Linked DNA regions of Neurospora crassa OR74A. The protein of the gene in region 1 interacts with the protein of each later gene in a pairwise test. Links are inferred from orthologs where the notes say so. Each region holds a gene or a part of one and is shown on either strand. Other genes may lie near its edges. The genes, in order: NCU03387, NCU05778 and NCU07071.

Region 1 (6,957 bases):
GCACGCTGGGCAGTGAGTTCCATTGGGACACGCAACAGAAGGTACCTACCTCCAGACTCGATCAAATCGTCGACACTTGCCCTTTTCTAAGAGAACCAGGAAGGGATCAGTTACCAGTAACCATGAACCAATAACCGGTGAAGAGTAACCACAAGTAACCAGTAACCAGTAACCAGTAACCGCAGTAACGGGGCAGGAGCCAGGAGCATGAAAGCCTCAACGGGCAGTCCCAACTCTCCAAAATACAACAGTTATCAAGACAAACCCACCACCACTTGCCAAGTGAGCCAGCCACACTGCATCCAGCTCACCATGAAAAATGGGAAGCCTTTGCTACTCTTACCTTACCTTACCTTACCTTACCTTTTTACAAACCCGTCAGTGAGTGAGTGTGCATGGAGAAATCAAGGAAGGTAGTCGTCTAGGGCGTTGATTAGTTTCGTCGCAGCCAGGTCCATGGTATACCTTTTTGTTTTAAGGTCTTCATTGCCTCGCACGATGGAGACAGCCCCCGTGGTGGTTGTGTTGGGCGTCATATGATGCTTCCAACCATTTCTTAGTTGTTTTTTTCCCTTCTTCTTTGTTTATATGTTGTTAAGAGAAAAAGAGGGAAAAAAAGAAAGAAAGGAAAGAAAAACCGAAAAAAAGGGGAAAAAAAAAAGAAAGGAAGGACAGCTTCCAGGGGGGTAAGCTCATCACGATAGAGCGGGTATCTGATCATCTTAAGCTCGTTACTAAGCAGGCGTCGTCGGGGACTGTGATAGCACCGGGCCGTTGGATTTTGACAGCTGATTGTCCGCAGTTGTATTTTTAACTGTCGACCGTTTCGAGTTTCTTCTACTTTCGCATCTCATTCATGGAGGCGCTGACCAATATGGTAAGTATTCGTTCGTGCTGTGAAGGTATACATAGTAGCGTAGGTCCAGAAATAGTGGTCCTTTGAATATCTCGGATACGTTAGCATGGAAATATATATACAAGTCTAACGAACGCTCGCGTTTGGTTTCCCATGAAACGCAGGGGTAAGATTCGGAACAAGACTGGAACAGTTATAACAAAGTAGTGGTCATCATTAACCTACTTCTATTCCCAAAAGGCATCACTGTCTATATCCTGAAGCTCATCCACTTGATATCCACCCATATACCCATATTAATGTATATACCTCCTTGTCTACAGCTCTAGTTCTCTCTCTCTACCTAACATTATACCGAGCAATCAACCCGGCCATCTTCTCCACGAACCATCCCTTCGGATCAGGACTCGTGTCCGCGCTCTCCGCAATCGTCAGGATCGTCCTGACACCCACACCCACGCTATCCGACCCGGTATACTCGCGTAGGGTATTCAACACCTCACTGACAGCCGCCTGGTCGCCACCAAACGCTCCCACCTCGTTCAACACTGCGCCCAACTCCTGGAGGTTGTTCACAGCGGGAACGGCAATCTGGTAGTCAAACGACTCAGTGACGTCCAACTGTTCCATGACGGTACGCTGCGAAGTCGTGGCGAGAATCAAGAGACGGTGGCCCTTAGGTGGAGGAGTAACCAAAAGGGTGACGAGGGCCTGGAGGATGGTGTTGGACAGGCGCGGGCCGACGGGGTTCCATTCGATAATGCGCTCGATGTTGTCAATAATGAGGAGGGAGAGCGGGGACTTGTAGGCGTCGGTGAAGATCTTGTGCATGTAATCCTTCTTGGCCACCTCGTCGCGGAAGCCGACCATGTCGGTGGGGGTGATGAACTTGATGAAGGGGAAGTCGGACTTCATGGCGATATGGGCGGCCAAAGCCGTCTTTCCAGAGGCCGAAGGGCCGTGAAGGAGGACGGTCATGTGCTTGAGGCGCTCGAGCTTGCGCACGTTATTGACGTAGAGCAGACCGTCTTCCAGGATCGACGTGATACTCTTGGAATAGTGGATGACGCCGTAAGCCAGGTGCTTCTCAAGCTCGGACTCGTCGGCGCCGAAGGCGGGCTTGACTTCGTCGAGGGCGTTGAGGAAATCCTGGCGGTTGACCTTCATGTTGGCCACGTCCTCTGAAACGCCAGCCATGGTGCCGACTTTGATGTGTCGGGAGAAGGCGTACGAGGTAGCGGATTTGACGAGACCGCTCAACTCGGCACCAGAAAAGTTCTTTGTAAGAGTGGCAAGCTCAGCGAGGTCAACGTCGTCAGCCATGACCTTGTTCTCCTTCATCTTGGAGGTGTGGATCTTGAGAATCTGGCCACGGCCATGCTCGTCGGGAAGCGAGATCTCGATTTGAACCTCGAGACGACCAGGACGAAGCAGGGCATCGTCGATCATGTCCTTACGGTTGGTCATTCCGATAAGGAGGATGTTGTTGAGCTGGTCGACACCGTCAAGCTTGGAGAGCAGCTGGTTGACAACACTGTCTCCGACGCCGGTACCACCACCAGCACCCGAACCTCTCTGCTTGCACACAGCATCCAACTCATCGAAGATGATAATGTGCAAGCCGGACTCGTCTCCCTTCTCCTTGTACTCCTTCTCGGCATCGGCGAAGAGCTTACGGATGTTCTCTTCAGACTGACCAACGTACTTGTTCAGCACTTCAGGACCGTTGATGACCTTGGGTTCCCTGGCGTTGAGCATCTTGCCGATCTGTCTGGCAATCAGGGTCTTTCCGGTACCGGGAGGACCATACAGCAGCATACCCTTGACGTGCATGATGCCAAGTTTCTCGATGAGTCCGGGAGGGAAGATACGAGAGGCAAAGGCACGACGGAAGATGGTGGAGAACTCGGTATCCAGACCACCAATGCCCATATTCTCGAACTTGAAGTCTGGGGCGATGATGGCGTTGGCCGCTGGGCGCTTGTTGGAGCCCTTGAGCTTGATGGGTGACCTGGCATCCTTGTAGAAGCCAATGCTGGCCTGGTTGGTGAGAATACCGCGTGCTCCAGGGTCACTGCGTGTGGGAGCCTCGCCCGATCCCAGCATGGTCAGGTCAACCAGAGTGACCGTCTTGACCATGACAGCCAAAGGGATGTTCTTGACGTCAAGCAGGAACCTCTGACCAGGAGCAAAGACCTGGTTCTGGAAAGTCTTGAGGAACACTTTGGCCAGCTCATCCTGGTCATAGGGGGTATCGACGATTCGGTTGGTTGACGCAAATCCGATCTCAACATCCATGGAGCCAATGTAGGCGTCGCCTCCACGGGCAAAGGGATCGTAGACCTCTCCCATCAACTCGTCCATCATGCCAACTCCGCACCATGTTCGCTGGGGGTCTGACAAGCTGATGTGACCCGGACGGAAGCCGGGGGTGGGGCGTGCCGTCACCACGTAATCTCCTCGTAGCTGTCTTCCTGTCAAGCGGATGTATAGATCGGTGCCATCGTGGTTCGGGGGGAAATCATTGGGCGATACGGCGCAACTAAAGTACGAGGTTAACAACTTTGGATTGGATAGACTGACCATGGGTAGCGCAGGGAACTCACATGTTGCCAAAGATGTAGAGACTCTGCAACGTCTTGTCATCCACCTTTGCGAGCCGAAGGGGGACACCGCGACCGGCTGGCTGAGAAGGGTATCCGCCAGGAGCGGGCTGTCCGCCGTAACCACCGCCACCGCCGCCGCCATAGCTCTTTTCAGATGGCGCACCTCCATATCCTCCAGCGCCGCTGCCAGAGTATTGGGGCTGAGAGGGAGCGCGACCACCTGGGCTGCCGTAGTTGGTTGGTGTTGCGCCGCCGCCGTATCCGCCTCCGGCTGCTTGTTGGACGGGACGACCGGGGAGACCAGCTCCTCCTTGTGGGGTTTGGGGCTTCTTGCCGAAGAGGTTGCCTCGAATATCCATGGTGAGTGTCGTGTGTGGATTATAAGTTACGGGTATCGAGGAGGAGTAGTAGGTGAGTGGACGTAAATGGGGAGAACCAGTCGCCCTTGGTGGTGTTTATCTATGTCTCGTTGGAGCGTGGAGTGGGCGCACTGGATTCGCGCGCAAGTACGTAGACACGTCGTGGATGTTGGTTCGGTTGATTGTAATTGACGATATAGCCGGGTATGACCACAGAAGATGCCTGTCCTTTGAGGCTGAGCTTCGGTGTTTTGTTGAGTTGAGAGAGGAGGGGATGCGGATGGAGGTCTGTTGTGTCAAGGGAACGCTATTACTACGTTGGGTGGTTTCAGCTGTGTCCCTGACGCTGTACAGGAAATGGTGTCAATGGCGGCTGTACTATGGAGCATATTGTCAGATTACTTGTACAAAGGCGCCAGCTTTCAATTAGTGGTGTATCCCCAGACTTGGTCCCCTGGCGCCCAGCCTGGACTCGCCCCTGACCAACGGGACCAACGTACGTCAAAGAGCGGGGCACGTGTTGGCCGCAAGATAAGATAAGAAGACTGACTCCAAGTAGAGGTGCTTCCTGGTTCTCCCAATGTTGTCGTCTTCAACTATCCAATCACTTGAAGGGAGACGATTTCATCGTTTGTCCCAACGTCAATATGCCTCTGTGAGTGAATACTGACTCCTTTTATCCAAGCAACAATTACCAACAGCATACAAGTCACCTTCTCGGAAAGAAATCATGGAACGTCTACAACACAGACAACGTCGCCCGCGTCCGCCGTGACGAGGCCGAGGCCCGTGCTCGCGAGGAAGCTGAGGAGCAACGCATGCAACAGGTCGACGCCGAACGTCGTCTAGCCATTCTGCGCGGTGAAGTTCCGCCGCCACTTGAGGAGCAACCGCCAGCATCAGAATCCAGCCATGATCATGGGCGCCGTCAGCGTGAACGTGATCCTCTGATAGAAGGACGCAAACGCAAGCGAGCAGGCGAGGATGACACCGATTTTGAAATGAGGATAGCGCGGGAACGGGCCACGGCAGGGCAAAATGCGGCGAGGGAGCTGTCTGGCCCAGTGAAGTCGACTTCCATCACTGCTACTACTGCATCGCTGGTCGATAGCAGGGGTCATATCACGTTGTTTTCTGAAGAGGAGCTGAGGCTTGTAGAGAAGGATGAGATAACAGAGACAGAAGCAGCCAAGAAAAAGCGTGAGGAAGCGGAGCAGCATCAGGTACGCTTTACCAGTGCGGCTGGCAGGGATGCGGAAGGCTTGTTAGCCAGAAATGGCCCCTGGTATGCGACACCGGATGGCGACGTTGCTGCGTTGGTGCCATCCAAGAACGTGTTCGGCAAGGAGGATCCCGGACGGAAGGCTCGTGAGGTGGAAAGACTGAGTGCAAGTGATCCTTTAGCGATGATGAAGAGGGGTGCCAAGATGGTGCGTGATCTCAACAAGGAACGGGAACGGGAGAATGAGGAGAGGCAAAGGGAGCTAAAGGAATTGCGAAAAGAAGAGCGACGACGAGAAAAGAGGAGGCGAACAGAATATCGCAAGGAAAAACATGATAGTAGAGCGTCTGGTGACGAATCTGACTGTGGTAGGCGGTCTCGGTCGGAGAGGCGGGAACGGGACCATGATCGAGACCGATCGCGAGATAGAGACCGACACCGCGACCGTCACCATGGCCATGACAGGGACCACAAACGGGGTCGTCACCATGAGGAAAGGGAGAGAAATCGTGACCGAGAACGAAGCCGCGGAAGTGAAAGAGATTAGGAAAGGAGGAGAGATCACTCTCGTGACAGGCACCATAGACGGTCTAGCAAGGACCGAGACGATCGCGAGTATCGCAAGCACAAAGACCGTGATGCCCATGATGGTAAGCATGACCATCACCGGCATCACCGCTCGGAGAGGTCAGATTACGAGCACGAGCCAAGACGTCCAAGAGACGAACAAGCATAGCATCCTCATTATTCTTGCATTGCGCAAAATCCAGAGTAGATAAAAACCTCAGCGTCAACATAAATAGCCAACAAGATACCCATCCAAATATAATCCCATCCAAAAACTCCCAATCCGACTTCAATCCCCCCGAACCTGTATCCCACTCACCTCTCCTTCCAAGGCAAACTAATCTTCACCTCCCTCATATCCCTCTCCACCATCTCCTTCAAGCCCCTCGTCCCCTCCCCGCCTTCTGTCAACACCTCCCCCAACACTTTCAACACCTCCTCCACCAACTCCTTACTCCCCCCTTCTGGCCGATCACTATAAACATCCACCCCTTCCTTTGTAAAAAGCGTCGACGCAAACCACGTAACCGCCCATCTCTCCTCGACCTCCCCGGTCTCCTCATTCTTGCGTTCCCCCCAACCCAGCACCTCCCAATGACTGCTCACAAAAAACAACCACCCGCTCCCGCGCCAGTCCCAGCTGGTCGTATCCTCTTGGATATTGTCCCAGTTACCCGTGTCGACTCCCGCGACGGTCTTGACGCCTCCTGAACCGGAGAGGGATTCGTATTCGACCAGGTCGTCGATACGGGGACGGCCATCTTTAGTCGGGGTAAGGGGGCGGTACGTGATGCGGACGTTGCGGGCCGAACGCCACATGGAGAGGGTCGAGTGGGTTACGGACCAGGTGCGGTGGAGGAAGCCGAGCGGTGGGAAGCGGATGGTTTGTGGGGGTGGGGAGGAGTGGGAGTATTTGTAGGGGAGGCGGAGGGTGATGGTGCCTCCTGGTGAGGAGTTGGTGGGCGGTGTGGTAGCCATAGTTGGTTTGATTATACGATAATTGATGGGTAAGATGGTGAGTTGACAAGTGTGGTCGAGGGCTAGTCTGAGGAGCAGAGTTGATGATGAGATGGGCTGGTCCTACACTATATATATATGTGCGAGTCTTGGGATGAAAGTGACGTCCAATGGTCGATGATCAGCTGAAACAGTGTGAAATGTAGGCTACTACCGATTGGCTCGCTGGAAACACAGGGGTTCAAGTTTGCTCGAGTCCCCTGACTTCCTGGTCTGGATATCCCAATTCCAGGCACGAACGGCTGGGCTTATCAGGTCGAGAAAAGTTGATGGAGATCACATGGGATTTTCGGCTTGCCTAGGATTGAAATCCAGAGAACATCCAGCTCA
Region 2 (6,557 bases), on another chromosome or scaffold:
TCCATGGTATCCCAAGACACTTTGTGATTATAACGCCCAAGAGCTAAATGGAAATCTATTTGTCAGGTAACACATGTGCTCTTCCCTGTACCATATCGAAAGTCCATTCGTAAAAAAGAAACATATTCCTCATGTCTGCTGTGGTGTACACGGTCATTGATGTTTTCTGCGACGTCTTCCTTTACTTGGATCTAATCTATGTGGGGGGCTTGGAGGCATCCGTCCATATAAACCAACTGCTGCCAGTTTCCCAACAGAACTCCGTTACTCTATGAATTGCCCTCGTGCTGATCGCTTTTCATACCTTCATCATTAGAAGAATCAGTCTCGGCAATTTCTTGCGGAAACGGTCCCCTCCGGCCTCTACCTTGACTTCAGAGCTACTCTGCTTGACTTCGTCTCCTTTAACGGACGGCCTCTTCATTCACCACATCATTATTACTATTATCCTCAGGTAGCTCTGTCTTGATATCATGCTCATGCTTCTCGTCTCTTCCCCCTTCAACCTCATTACTGTTGATAAGAGTCATCTGCAATGTCAATCCGGGACGTAACCCATCACCAGGGTCATCTCCAGATCAATGGTTAGCCGAATTTGTCAGGGGGTGATCGTCTGGCGGCGAAGGTAGGTTTCCGTTGTAGTTGTCGTCATTATCATCGTTATCGTCATCGTCATCGTCGTCTTCGTGCTCGTCAGTATCTTCATCGTCCTCCTCACTGTCCTCCTCCTCTTCATCTTCATCATCTGCATCATCTCCCCCATAAGTGATCGTCTCCCCGACCCATTCGTTCCAACTCATCCAATTCTCCAACTTCTCGAAGCTCTTGTGTACTTTCCTCTCCAGCTTCTCGACCCTCTCGTTCATGTCGTTTTCCAACCTTTCGACCCTCCTGTTCATATCGCTCTTATACAGCTCCAACCCTTTGTTTATGTCCTCCTCATATCTCTCGAACTGCTGCTCCAGAAATACAACATTGACTTGCAAGTCCTTTCGAAAGTTGACTTCTCCCCCATTGTCGGGCAATTCTTCTTGTCCATATTCCCCCTCGCTTTCCAGAGTTGGACTATCCCTCTCGTGACTCCCATCAACCTCATCCCCCTCAATGCTCTTCATCACCGATCCAGGTCCAGATCCAGATCCAGATCCAGATTCAGGACTAACAGTCCTAACCCTCTTCACCTCTCTCTTACCCAAGTTGATTTTCTTTCTAATTCCTTGCTGTTGCTGTTGATGACTTGTACTGCTGCCTCCTCCTCCTCCTCCTCCTCCTCCTCCTCCCACACCTCCAGTGGCAGCTTCAGTCATATCCCCTTCCTCCACACTCTTTCCACTGTCTTCTTCCAACTGCGGTAGCGGCAGCGGCAGGATCCTCGCCACTGCATCGAGTGTAGCTTCCGACACGTCTATGGGAGGAGAAGAACTGTTCGAACTTCTTCTTCTACTTTTTGTAGTCGCAGTAGGTTCTTCTGTTTCACTGGAATCTTTTCGTTTCCGTTTTTTGTCGTCATCGTCCTCCTTTTCATCTCTACCTTCTTCCCCATCCTCCCCGTTATCGTTCCCTTCCCTCGACTCTCGCTCCCTCCTCAAACCCGCCTTCTGATCAACTTTAGACCACGCCTTAGTTAGGGCAGTATAGCTCGCAAATAACTTGTCGATGACAATGTCGACCGCGTTGAGCTCTCTTCTCAGCTCTTTGATTTTGGACTGGGACGAGCGAAGGGTGGACTCAATGTCGAGCTGGTTGTCTGCCACGTCGCTTGAGAGCTGAGAGCCAAGGGCGGAGAGGTCGGATTCGGGGTCCGTTTCCATGGCTTTTGTGGGAAGGGCGGGTACGTGCTGGTTGATGTGAATTATCGGAGTTGTAAAGGTTAGTGTGAATTATCGGAGTTGTAAAGTGATCTGTGCTGAAGAAGGACCGGGGAGAGAAGAGGCAGGCTGTCGAATGTGGTTGAGAAGTGCCTTATATCGTTAAGGAACGATGAACTGGGTGAGCTAATAGCCGATGGAAGCTTCGATCAAACTAAAAGGAAACAATGACTACAACTGTTTCAAGCACATGATAATCAGTCGTATGGGTGCATTATATGTTGACATTATACCATTCGCATAAGTCATCGTAATAAACATACAAATGGGGACAATGAGGTTGCGGCATAACAGGATAAAAGGTTTAGAAAGGAGAATGAGCTTGCTTTTCTGTTATAACAACGCAGCCAGCAACAACCCAGCCCAAAAAAGTGGTTGTGGTGTTGGACAAACAACAACAACGACAACAAGAAAGAAGAACTACCCACCAAATCAATCCAAAACTCCGAAAGACTCCGCTAATGGATGATATGATAATCCCTTCAAGAACCCCCGCCATGAGAAACAAGAGACAACAAACCCCACGACGCATGCATGGCCGACCTTTTCAAGGTTTGCGGCTCTTTGTGCAAAATCCACTTTTAGCTTTCTCCAACATACAAGCCCCATTAAGATCCTCCCAAGCTGGCTGGCTAATCAGTAGATGACCGGTTTAGGCGGCCTGGGCAGTCTCGAACTTGGCGCCGGTGCCAGCGAGGTTGGTGGGCATGGCGTGGGGGTTCTTGGTGCGGTAGTCCTTGATGGCGGCCTTGATGGCATCCTCAGCAAGCATGCTGCAGTGCAACTTGACAGGGGGGAGGCACTGTGGGTGTTGGGTAACACGGTTAGTTCATAGTGCACGAGAGGCATAGGAGCATGGTACGGAGAACAGGTCTAGACTTACGAGTTCCTTGGCAATCTCGGTGTTCTTAACCTTGGAGGCTTGCTCGAGGGTCATACCGCGGACGAGCTCGGTGACGTAGCTGGAAGAGGCACTGAAGGGAGTTAGTAAGCTGAGCTCAGAACGTTATGGTAACACTAAAGCCTTGGGAAGCCAATGATCAAGCTATCGTCGTTTTTTAGGAATCGTAGGTAGTGAATCCGAGTAGTTCTCGATATCGTTCTCCGTTTGTCGAAGGCGTTGGAAAGGCATGGGGAGGTTATCGCTTATTCGCGCGCACACCCAAGCAGCACTGAAACCTGGGGTGTAACGGCCTGGAGGTTTCAACTTTCAGGTGTCGCATTTCTCTGCTCATCCTCCCTGCTTATGCTGAACCGAGGTGTTGTAGTTGCAACTATACGTCGATGAAACTAGTTTGTCGTCGCTCGCGTTTCATTTGATCGTTGTGTGGTATCAATTTCGTATCGCCCGTGGCTTCGGTCACTTTTTCTTGGCCCCCATGGCTTCCCGAGGCATCCGTGTCTATCAGTGACGAAAGAGACAATACTCACATGGCAGAGCCGCAGCCGAAGGTCTTGAACTTGACGTCGCTGATGACTCCAGTCTCGGGGTCGACCTTGATGTGAAGGCGCATGACATCACCGCAGGCGGGGGCGCCGACGAGACCTTCGCCGACCGACTTGTCCTTCTTGTCGAGGGTACCGACGTTGCGAGGGCGCGAGTAGTCTGATATTGAGACATGTTAGCATCTGTACATGTTTGCCGATATGCCATATCCAAGGTGGAATAGGGCGCGAATGCGTGGCCGCGATGGGAATACTCACGGTCAAGGACCTTCTCGTGGTAGGACCTCTTGGCGACGACGGCAACGGCGGGCGCAATCTGGCGCGCAGCCGGCATGACGGTAGGGCGGACGGCGTTGGCGAGAACGCGGCCGGAAACAGCGCGAACGGATCTGGAAAACATGGTTGCGGATGTGTTGATTGTGATGTTTTTGTTTTGTTTCGTTTCGTTTTGTCTTGGGTTGTTTTGTTGTTTCTGTAGGATAGGTATCGGTGATGCAAGAGACGAGTTCTGGTGATGAGTGGATGGCGAAAAGTCAAAGAGGCCGAGATAAAGAGGTTGGCGGCGGACGGGACTTGGGGATTAAAAGTTGCTGGAATTTGCGGATTTGGCTGCGGATTTGCGGGCTTGCGGCACTTGGTCGCCAAAAAGTCGATGATGACCCAAGGGGGCGACTTGCTGCACTCGGGACTGGGATACGAAAAAGAGGGGTTGGTCAGAGCTCTCCTAACAAAAGCGGAGCACAATCACCAACCAAAACAGCCAGGCTTCTGTTAGGCCAGTGACAAGACGCGCTGCTACGGACATGGGGGGCGTCATCCCCGACGTCGGCTTGGTCGGTTGGACAAAAGAGAGCCAAGACAGTTCTGAGCTCCACTTGCCGCGGAGATAAGATGATCAGATTACGGAACACCGAATGTACCTACGTCTCGCGATTCGGTCGTCGTTGACTTGGAATTCTGGACGATCACTCGCTTCCCTTGGACTTTTTTTTTCCAGCCGACGACAGATGAAAATGCTAAGCACGGGCTTCTACACTATAATGGTACTTAGTCAGGTCCTTGTTCTCTTTTCTTACCTCGTCGAATGGGCATTTCTGTCGCCGTCAAACGTACCTCCCGTCCAAAACTCTGCCTCTTGATTGCAAACTGGAAAATGACACTTTCTTAACAAACCGTATCTGCATTGTCACTGTGTAACGTGCCACAATGTTAAGAAATGCATAACAGATCGTCCACCACCGATACCTAAGCAAGCGCCAATCCCTGCTCCATTGTCCCCAGACTGCAGCACATCATCCCTGTCCGCTGTCACAATCCATGAAACGGCAGCGGGGTTCGAACAAATGGAAGGCGGCAGGGCGAATGCCATGAAGCGCGGTTGCCTGGAACATGGGGATTGGGGAGTGGTTGCTGTCCAGTGCCTGCCGCGTCAGCTAAAGTTACCCCACAACATCATACCTCAGCTCAGCTCACTGCCTGCAGCTACGGCAAGCTTCCATTTTCCTTCACGCTTCTTCCATCTTCTCTTCCTCTGCAATACAACTTCACTTGGCGGTAGACTTCATCCAACAATTCGATGACTTTCTAGTTGTACACAACTACACACCAAGAATACAGACAACATAGCTTGGTTGATTTCATTCATACATCATCGCGAATCCGCCCAACATGTCGTGCCCCCACATCGGGTCCGCAAGTAAGTCTTGCTTATTCCATGTTTGCATGCTCTTTGGAGCTCAGCTCAGCTTCCATCATGTGTGGTGCGCCTCTAACTCAGGACTGGACAACGTATTTCTGACACACCGATTCTAACAGACCTCGCGAAGCCGTCGCCTACCGACAATGTCTACCGCGAGGATTGTACCCAATGCTTCGATTCCATTGTCCGTACTCTATCCTGGCCTTTCCTCTCTTCTTCTAGCCCCATCTACCATGTCCAGCCTAGCAACTAACCGCCTCGCTGTAAATAGGACGACCCAGCTGGTCTGGATGTCTGCTTAAAGTGCTTTAACGGAGGCTGCGCTGGCGACCGGAATCACGCAAAGCTCCATGCCACCTCGCGAAACCACCCGCTCGTCCTCAACATTCGCCGAACCCGCAAGATCATCGAGCGCAATGAGCCGCCTCTCAAGATGTCCAAGCTCGCCATCGCGGCCGAGACCGAAAGCGATCGCTACGATACAACACTTACAGTCAAGTGCTTGGACTGCGGAATCGACAACTTGAACAAGGAAGATGCCACCATCGCCCCCGTCATCGAGGCCGTCATGAAGGCCAACACGTTCTCACGCAAGGAGGAGGTCAAGGCCTGGGAACAAGAGCTCACTACCTGTGAGCACATCTTGACAATGCAGCAAGGAGAGCCTCGCAAGATTGAGTCTCAGGATCTGGGCCATTGCTCCAAGTGCGACTTGAACGAAAACCTTTGGCTGTGTTTGGAATGCGGAAACCTTGGTTGTGGCCGCGCCCAATTCGGTGGTGTCAGCGGAAACTCTCACGGTTTGGCTCACGCGACCGAGACCAAACACGGCGTCGCTGTCAAGCTTGGTTCCATCACCCCCGAGGGAACGGCCGACGTATACTGCTACAACTGCGACGAAGAGCGCATCGATGACAACCTGGGCGCCCACCTGGCCAACTGGGGCATTATCCTTGCCGAGCGCGAAAAGACGGAAAAGAGCTTGACGGAAATGCAGATCGAGCAGAACCTGAAATGGGAGTTTTCCATGACCACTGAGGACGGCAAAGAGTTGACACCCGTTTTTGGCCCTGGCCTGACTGGCCTCAAGAACCTCGGAAACAGCTGCTACCTTGCCAGTATCCTACAGTGTCTCTACGACTTGCCCTCTTTCCAACAACGGTACTATAGCGACAAGCTTGGTCCTCTCCCCAGCGTATCAGATCCTGCCGAGGACCTCGAAACACAGCTTCGCAAGCTTGGTGATGGTCTTCTTTCCGGCCGGTACTCCAAGTCAGACGCCGATGTCTTTGCTTCTGAGCACACTCCCAACGTCCCTTACCAGAAGGGTCTCCAGCCTTCCATGTTCAAGCACCTCATGGGTCGTGGCCACGAGGAGTTCTCGACCATGCGGCAGCAAGACGCCTTTGAGCTCTTGCAGCATCTGATCAAGCTCATCACTCGATCCAAGCATCCAGTAGAGCTTGGTGATCCCACCCAGCCCATGCGCTTCGTCATGGAGCAGCGTCTGCAATGCCTCAACTGCAAGAAGGTCCGCTACAGTA
Region 3 (7,129 bases), on another chromosome or scaffold:
CCAATGCCCCCGACGTGATCGTCTCCACTCCCGCCCGCGCCTGGCACAACATCGAGTCCGGCGCTCTCAGCGTCGCCAAGCTACAGTACCTCGTGCTCGACGAGGCCGACCTCGTCCTGTCCTACGGCTACGATGAAGATATGGAGAACATCGCCCGCTCGCTGCCCAAGGGCGGTGTGCAGACCACCATGATGAGCGCCACTCTCGTCTCTGACGAGCTCGACACGCTCAAGGGCTTTTTCTGCCGCAATCCCACCATGCTGGACCTGAAGGAAGAGTTCAGCAACGAGGACGAGAAGCTCACCCAGTTTTACGTCAAGTGCGGCGAGGATGACAAGTGGCTCATCAGCTACCTGATCTTCAAGCTGCAGCTGATCAAGGGTCCCTGTCTGGTGTTTGTGGCGGATATCGATCGCGCGTACCGCTTGAAGCTGTTTTTCGAGCAGTTTAGCATTCGCAGCTGTGTGCTGAACTCGGAGTTGCCGATTAATACACGGATCAAGATTATCGAGGAGTTTAACAGGGGTATTTATGATATCATCATTGCGTCGGATGAGAGGAGCGAGGTCTTCTTGGAGGACGAGAAGACTGAGGAGAAGAAGGAGGAGCAAGGTGAAAAGAAGGAGGGCGATGAGAAGAAGAACGGCAAGGGAAAGAAGAAGAAGGGCAGGAGGGATCAGGAGTATGGTGTTTCGCGAGGTAAGTCTGTCTGCGTTTTGGTCCTACATGGTTCTGGATACTAACCCAAATGATCCCAGGCATCGACTTCAAAAACGTTGCCGCCGTTATCAACTTCGACATGCCCACTTCTTCCTCTTCCTACATTCACCGGATAGGCCGCACCGCCCGCGCCGGTCGCGCCGGTATTGCTCTATCGATGGTCGTCCCTCACGATCTCTTTGGCAAGCACAAGCCCACCAGCATCAAGCAGTGCGAGAAGGACGAGAAGGTTCTGGCCAAGGTGATGCGCCAGCAGGCCAAGCTCAACCGCAAGTTGGAGCCGTACAACTTTAACAAGGATCAGATGGAGGCTTTCCGTTATCGTATGAACGATGGTCAGTACCCCCTTTCCCCCTTATCATTTCGTCCATTTGACCATTCATTCTCTAACTGAGCAATAGCCCTCCGCGCCGTAACAAAAGTTGCCATCCGCGAAGCCCGCACCCGCGAACTGCGACAAGAACTCCTGCGCTCCGAGACGCTCAAGCGCTACTTTGAAGAGAACCCGCACGAGCTGTCGCACCTGCGCCACGACGGCGAGCTCGGCACCAAGATGCGCCAGCAAGCCCATCTCAAGCACGTGCCTGATTACTTGCTGCCCCAGGACGGCAAGAACGCTCTCACGGAAACCCAGATTGGGTTCGTGCCGTTTAAGAAGCAGGGCGACGATAAGAAGACGAGAGGCAAGAAGGGGGCCAAGGGTGGAAAAGGTGGGCATGGGAAGTATAAGAAGGGACCTGGGGGGAGGAAGAATGTGTTGAAGACTTTTAGGGTTAGGAAGTAGAGGGACGGCGTCTGGTAGATGAGATGGGAAAGGAAAAGGGGTCTGCATTTTCTGGTGTTTATGTGTGTGTGTGTGTGTGTGTGTGGCTTTTTTTTGGTTAAAAAATACCTAGGCTAGGCTTGGTGGTCTGAAGGGGAATCAAGATATCATTGCACATCTACGGGATATCAAAGAGAAGTATGAGTCCTGAACGTTAAGCTGTTGATCCCATTTATGGGTTGGTATCGGATCAAAACGAAGGTGAAATGGCAATTATAAGTTTAAGCTCACCTTCAAGCTCGCCTTCAATCGAAGTTCATCGAGATTTAAAGGAAACGTGAGTAGGTACATGGTGCCTTCCAAGGCCGAGAGAACATCTAGGACGGGACGGGATGAAGACTATCGATGTTCCTCTGATACGTGGATTTCAAGTGCTTGTTGAAGTTGAGCCTGGAGATATATGCCATTATTTTTAACGGCCCATCAGTTTTATCTGATCGAAATTCGCCCGGAAAGCGATGATCACCCGAATTTTGATTCACCAAAGACAGCGGGCAGATTTGATGTCGAAATGCAGACGGCATCTGTCATCCAATCAGGGCGCATTATCCCCTGACCATCGCAGGGTTATATGTGGGAAGTGCCGCGTTCCAGGGTTAACTGTGAATTCGGAATCCAACACTGGACCGAAGCTTCCCCACATGTTGAGCTTGATGGTCTGTGCGCAAACTGTCCCCGTCGCGGGTGCGGCTCTGGACCGCTCTCTGGCTGCTGTGGGTGCCCTGAGTGGGTGTGAGTGTGACCCTCGAACGCCGGCGGGAGCAGGAGACGAGTCGACTCCAGCAGGCGGGCGGGTGGTGGGCGCCGCCATAGGTCCACCGGGCAGCTAGGTCTTCGTTCTTCTTTCATCTGCTTGATTCCCTTCCTCTTTGCCCGCCGACAACACCACAGGAATACATACGACCACCACCCAACTCACTCACTCCAGTCTACATATCCACTTCCGTCACCGTCACCGACTCCAACTCTACCGTGCCGTGACCTCTCTACCCACAACACCAACACTCTCATTTTTTTTTTTTTTTTTTTCCATATTTCGCTTCCATACCAATACACACGTACTGTACTTCCAAGACCCGCCGCGATCGTCAAGCCTTGCCTGCCGGGCCTGTGACTAGGTGTTCTGCAATCTGCACTTTAATCCGCCGCCGCCGCCGCCGCCGCCGCCGCCGCCTTTGTTCAACAGCCCGCTTGCTCAAAGCACAACCACCTCGCTACGTACCCGCCTCGACGCCGCCTCGCCCACTTGTCTACCTTACTCTACACGACCCGACCCGCCCGACGACGCCGTTGTTGACCGCTGCTCTGTCTGATATTCGCAATCGAGAAGGACCCTTCCTGCGCCCGACGACACCCCTCTCATGCCGCCCGGCCTGCCGTTGCCCCATCGTCAAGTTCCTGGCGAAAGATAATAACCACTACCACCACCACCACCACCACCACCGACAACAATAGCGCCACCCCGAGTCCTGCCTCGATTGATACCCACACAGCTCCCGACGTCTTTGACCCACTACTTCGCGCCGTCGCCAGCATTTCTCCGTTCGAACACATAGCCCAAGATGATGCAGAATCCCCATGTTTACGGCCACCACCAATACCCCCAGGCCGACTCTGCCTGGCTTCACCAGCAGACCTCTCACCATCAGCACGCCCAGGCTGCTGCCGCCGCCGCCAATGTTGCCCAGCAGCAGCACTACAACCGCCTGGCCGGCGCACACAACAATGTGAACGCCCTTGCCGCCGCCACCCACGCACAGGATAATGCCATTGAGCCCGTCGTCTCGGATGACAACCGCCGTACGCTCCAGTACATTGCCGACTTGCTGAATGAAAACACCAGGGAGGCTGCGCTGCTTGAGCTGAGCAAGAAGCGAGAGCAGGTCCCCGAACTGGCCCTGATCCTCTGGCACTCGTTCGGTAAGTACAATGAACCGACCTATACCTCGGAGCCCCTCCCCCTCTCTCCCCCCGCCGATCGATCATGCGCTAATCCCCATGTCTAGGAGTCATGACATCTCTCCTCCAGGAGATTATCAGTGTCTATACCCTCCTCAACCCCTCTCAGCTCACCGCTGCCGCCTCCAACAGGGTCTGCAATGCCCTCGCCCTCCTTCAGTGTGTGGCGTCTCACAACGAGACACGTACCCTCTTCCTCAATGGTAGGTGCCCCTTTGTTACAAGCCAGGACCGGCTAGCCTGCTAACCTTTTTCTTCCTCAGCACACATCCCCCTCTTCCTTTACCCCTTTCTTAACACGACGTCCAAGTCGCGTCCTTTTGAATACCTCCGGCTCACTTCGCTGGGAGTCATTGGTGCGCTTGTCAAGAACGATTCCACAGAGGTCATCAACTTTCTCCTTACGACCGAGATTATTCCCCTCTGCCTGAGGATCATGGAGACCGGCTCTGAGCTCAGCAAGACGGTTGCTATTTTCATCGTGCAGAAGATCTTGCTTGATGACAACGGTCTTAACTACATCTGTGCCACTTATGAGCGCTTCTACGCTGTCGGCACCGTCCTCAGCAACATGGTTGCTCAGCTGGTAGAGCAGCAGACGGCTAGGCTTCTCAAACATGTTGTTAGGTGCTTCTTGAGGTATGTTCTCGCCCTGTTACTCGATTTTGGTAGGTCTCTGTACTGACTTATCATCCAAACAGACTTAGCGACAATGCTCGTGCCCGCGAGGCACTCCGCCAGTGCCTGCCAGAGCCCCTTCGCGATGCCACCTTCTCTTCGGTTCTGCGCGACGATGCCGCCACCAAGCGTTGCCTGGCGCAGCTCCTCATCAACCTCTCCGATAATGTAGTCGAACCCAGCACCAGCGGTCTTGGAATTTAAACCACCCTTTGCGATTTGGCCATTTTGCCACTTTGGACGCTCGGCTTTGCAGCAACTCATGGCAAAGGAACAAACTGCTAACTCGAGACTTTTCTTCCAATCGGTTATAGGGTGAGAAGTGGATAGATCGCTACTACAAGTAGAGATGGAAAAAATTGGGGGTGGGGGCTACCGGTCGTACATGATCGAGTGGTCTGGAACTCAACCCCTAATAGCAGCTCATAGCCATACCTAGGACCGCACAAGCTATCCGACGACGAGAAGGGTCCGATGGCTACACCTCAACACGTCAAAGTACACCACCAGCACACGATGACATTACACGCGAAGGCCGAAACTCTCAAGGACATCCAGCATAGTGGAGGAACGAGGAGCCGAGAGACGATGAAGGAGTCAGCGGAGGAGGGCAAGAGGATCATTGATGACGAAAGATACCCCCAAATTTTACGTAGCTTCCTTAACTCTTTTTTTCTGTGTGCATAACGCCTATACAGTGCTTCATAGTTTTCTTTTGGAAGTTTTTTGGAGGCTGCTGCAGTTTTGTATTCATCGTTTGGGACGAAACGGCGGGTCACGAAGTCCACGGTTCACATATCTTATACCCAGGAGGAGGGGAGCGGAGGAAAGGGTGACCAGTGGCGTGGTCGAAGACCCTTGGTTGAGGATGCGAAGGACTGGTGGCGCGGTCGATATATACTTTGGAGTTCAAACGTGATCGGTGGCATGATCACGGACAGACACATACGAGACGAACGGGTCGAGGTTACGATTGATGCTACCCGCTGGACCCTTCACTGGGACTGGCTCGGATAACATCAGCGAGGGAGGGCAAGTCAATCCGGTGGCCGATCAACGTTGATGGCACCCATCAGACACATTCGTGTGAGCGAGAGGGACAATCGGATGGCACCCGTTGTTCCGTGGGCAGGCCGAAGTTGGTTACAACAATCACATCGCTACCCGGACGGATCAGACGACAACAAGCCAAGTCCGTGGGCAACAATACCTCTCACCTGGTCGACCCACCTCGAACACATCAACAATACCGTCACCTCCAAAGGTATATACCACACAAAGGAGAGATTCCAGAGAGAGAGAGGAGAGGGGGCTACCTGATAATGTCTTATGAGTAGAGGGACTTGTTTTCAAGAGGAGGGAAAAAGCGAGGGATAACTGGGATGCATAGGGTTATAGAAAAAGGTGGGCAGCTGAAAAGCGGAACGAAGAAAGAGAATCGGCGAAAGAGAAGAGAGGTGGAAAAGGGGATTTTCTTTTTCACTTTTTCTTATTGTCCAAGACACACCAAAAGCATCATCATCATTCATGTACCTATCTTTCGGCACGACACATGGGAAAGCGAGGATTCCATAATCATATCACTTTTTACTACATTGGGAGGGCGTTATTTTGTTGATTTTGGGAAGAGGGGGGAAGAGGAATGGGGGGCTAAAGGGGGAAGAAAGGGGCGAGGGGAATAGGGGAAAAGGGGGGTTATGGGTTAGGGGGGAGGGGGAGACCTCGGGGGACGGGGGGGTAAAGAGAGAAAGCATAGGATATGGGGTGTTGGAGATGTATGAGTTACCATAGTGGATAGGGGATATAGGAATTGCGGTTGTATGCGATGGTGGGCGTTTATGAATTCATGAACATGATATGATGTTACCTTTGTGTACACGGGCTGGCGAGGCGACACTTCATGTTTGAGTTGAGTTTCTAGGTTTATAATCTCGCGACCGTCTCCAGTAACCTTAAACCTTTCTTGACTGATCACCATCTCGATAGTCAACATGTTTACCATCGGTCCTGGGTAGTTCAGCACAGGATTTGATGGAGAACATGTAGCAATGGTTTTCTTCTGGGGTATAACACAAAACTGTCTTGGAACATCAAACTTTGTACAATTCTCAAAATGGGTATTCTACTTTTTCCACCACCTCTACATCTATCCACCCGCCTCTAAAGTATCTATCCAGACAAAACACTCATCCCACCAACCCTTTACTTTTCTTTACTCCCCCTTCCACTTCCACTGAGCCTTCCTATGCAAAAAGTAATCCTTGCTCTGAATACTCTTCCAAATGCCATAAAACCCGCCAATCGGCTTCTTGGCCAACAACCAATGCCGCTGCTTCTTGCCCGCCTTATCCGCATCCACATGGATCTTGTCCCACACCGTCGGCAAGTGCTCGGCATGATACTTTTTTCTCAGCGCATCATACCACGTCCGTCCACCATACATCTTCCAGAACTTTTCCTGCTCGTAATACGTATGCGCATAAAACCACTTCATCCCACCCAACTCATGTACTTTATTCTCTAACTCAATATTCTTGGCGACAAACTCTTGGGGGGAATCGGGCCCCCAGCCCCAGACGCCAATGTTGAGCATCATGTCATCTTGCGCCTTTTCGTCCGACGGGTCGGTGCCAGGACGGGTCGTATGCGGATGAAAAGTCGGGGGCGCGCGGCGTTTAAGTGGGCAAAGCCATAGTGGCCAGATTCCCAGAGAGGAAGAGGTGTAGTTGATGAATTCCTCGGAGGTCTCGAACGGCATGGCAATGTCTTGCACGACGAACCGGGCGGACTCGCCGGACCCGTGCAAAGCGCGGTACATCATGCGCGTGTGCAAAAAGTCGTCGAGGAACCACCGGGTGAGTTTCGTGAAGGGAACCCAGCTGAAGTATTGGAAGGCGGCGGCGCCGACCCAGAATCCACCCCGGTCGTAGCGGAAGAGGTATTCGGCTA

Evidence for each region.
Region 2: the proteins of NCU03387 (region 1) and NCU05778 interact in a two-hybrid assay, tested with the Schizosaccharomyces pombe proteins (2 studies listed by BioGRID). The link is inferred for Neurospora crassa OR74A from reciprocal best matches to the Schizosaccharomyces pombe genes sec18 and isu1.
Region 3: the proteins of NCU03387 (region 1) and NCU07071 interact in a two-hybrid assay, tested with the Schizosaccharomyces pombe proteins (2 studies listed by BioGRID). The link is inferred for Neurospora crassa OR74A from reciprocal best matches to the Schizosaccharomyces pombe genes sec18 and rcd1.

Annotation. Positions count from the first base shown.
Region 1 is NC_026502.1:885,950-892,906, forward strand, and holds NCU03387 (vesicular-fusion protein SEC18), read right to left. Parts: upstream 4,105-6,957; 5' UTR 3,822-4,104; coding exon 3,463-3,821; intron 3,399-3,462; coding exon 1,196-3,398; 3' UTR 994-1,195; downstream 1-993. Other genes in the region: NCU03386 (hypothetical protein), read left to right, coding at 4,469-4,476, 4,531-5,590; NCU03385 (hypothetical protein), read right to left, coding at 5,926-6,588. UniProt on the Schizosaccharomyces pombe protein: Required for vesicle-mediated transport. Catalyzes the fusion of transport vesicles within the Golgi cisternae. Is also required for transport from the endoplasmic reticulum to the Golgi stack.
Region 2 is NC_026507.1:3,795,994-3,802,550, reverse strand, and holds NCU05778 (iron sulfur cluster assembly protein 1), read right to left. Parts: upstream 3,945-6,557; 5' UTR 3,715-3,944; coding exon 3,573-3,714; intron 3,475-3,572; coding exon 3,300-3,474; intron 2,843-3,299; coding exon 2,752-2,842; intron 2,671-2,751; coding exon 2,521-2,670; 3' UTR 2,056-2,520; downstream 1-2,055. Other genes in the region: NCU05779 (hypothetical protein), read right to left, coding at 579-1,811; NCU05777 (ubiquitin carboxyl-terminal hydrolase 14), read left to right, coding at 4,983-5,010, 5,130-5,197, 5,285-6,557. UniProt on the Schizosaccharomyces pombe protein: Scaffold protein for the de novo synthesis of iron-sulfur (Fe-S) clusters within mitochondria, which is required for maturation of both mitochondrial and cytoplasmic [2Fe-2S] and [4Fe-4S] proteins.
Region 3 is NC_026506.1:256,500-263,628, reverse strand, and holds NCU07071 (cell differentiation protein rcd1), read left to right. Parts: upstream 1-2,418; 5' UTR 2,419-3,105; coding exon 3,106-3,463; intron 3,464-3,549; coding exon 3,550-3,705; intron 3,706-3,765; coding exon 3,766-4,141; intron 4,142-4,203; coding exon 4,204-4,384; 3' UTR 4,385-5,919; downstream 5,920-7,129. Other genes in the region: NCU07070 (ATP-dependent RNA helicase dbp-9), read left to right, coding at 1-699, 759-1,055, 1,122-1,504; NCU07072 (galactose-1-phosphate uridylyltransferase), read right to left, coding at 6,393-7,129. UniProt on the Schizosaccharomyces pombe protein: A differentiation-controlling factor that is essential for the onset of sexual development. Induces ste11 when sexual development is invoked through nitrogen starvation.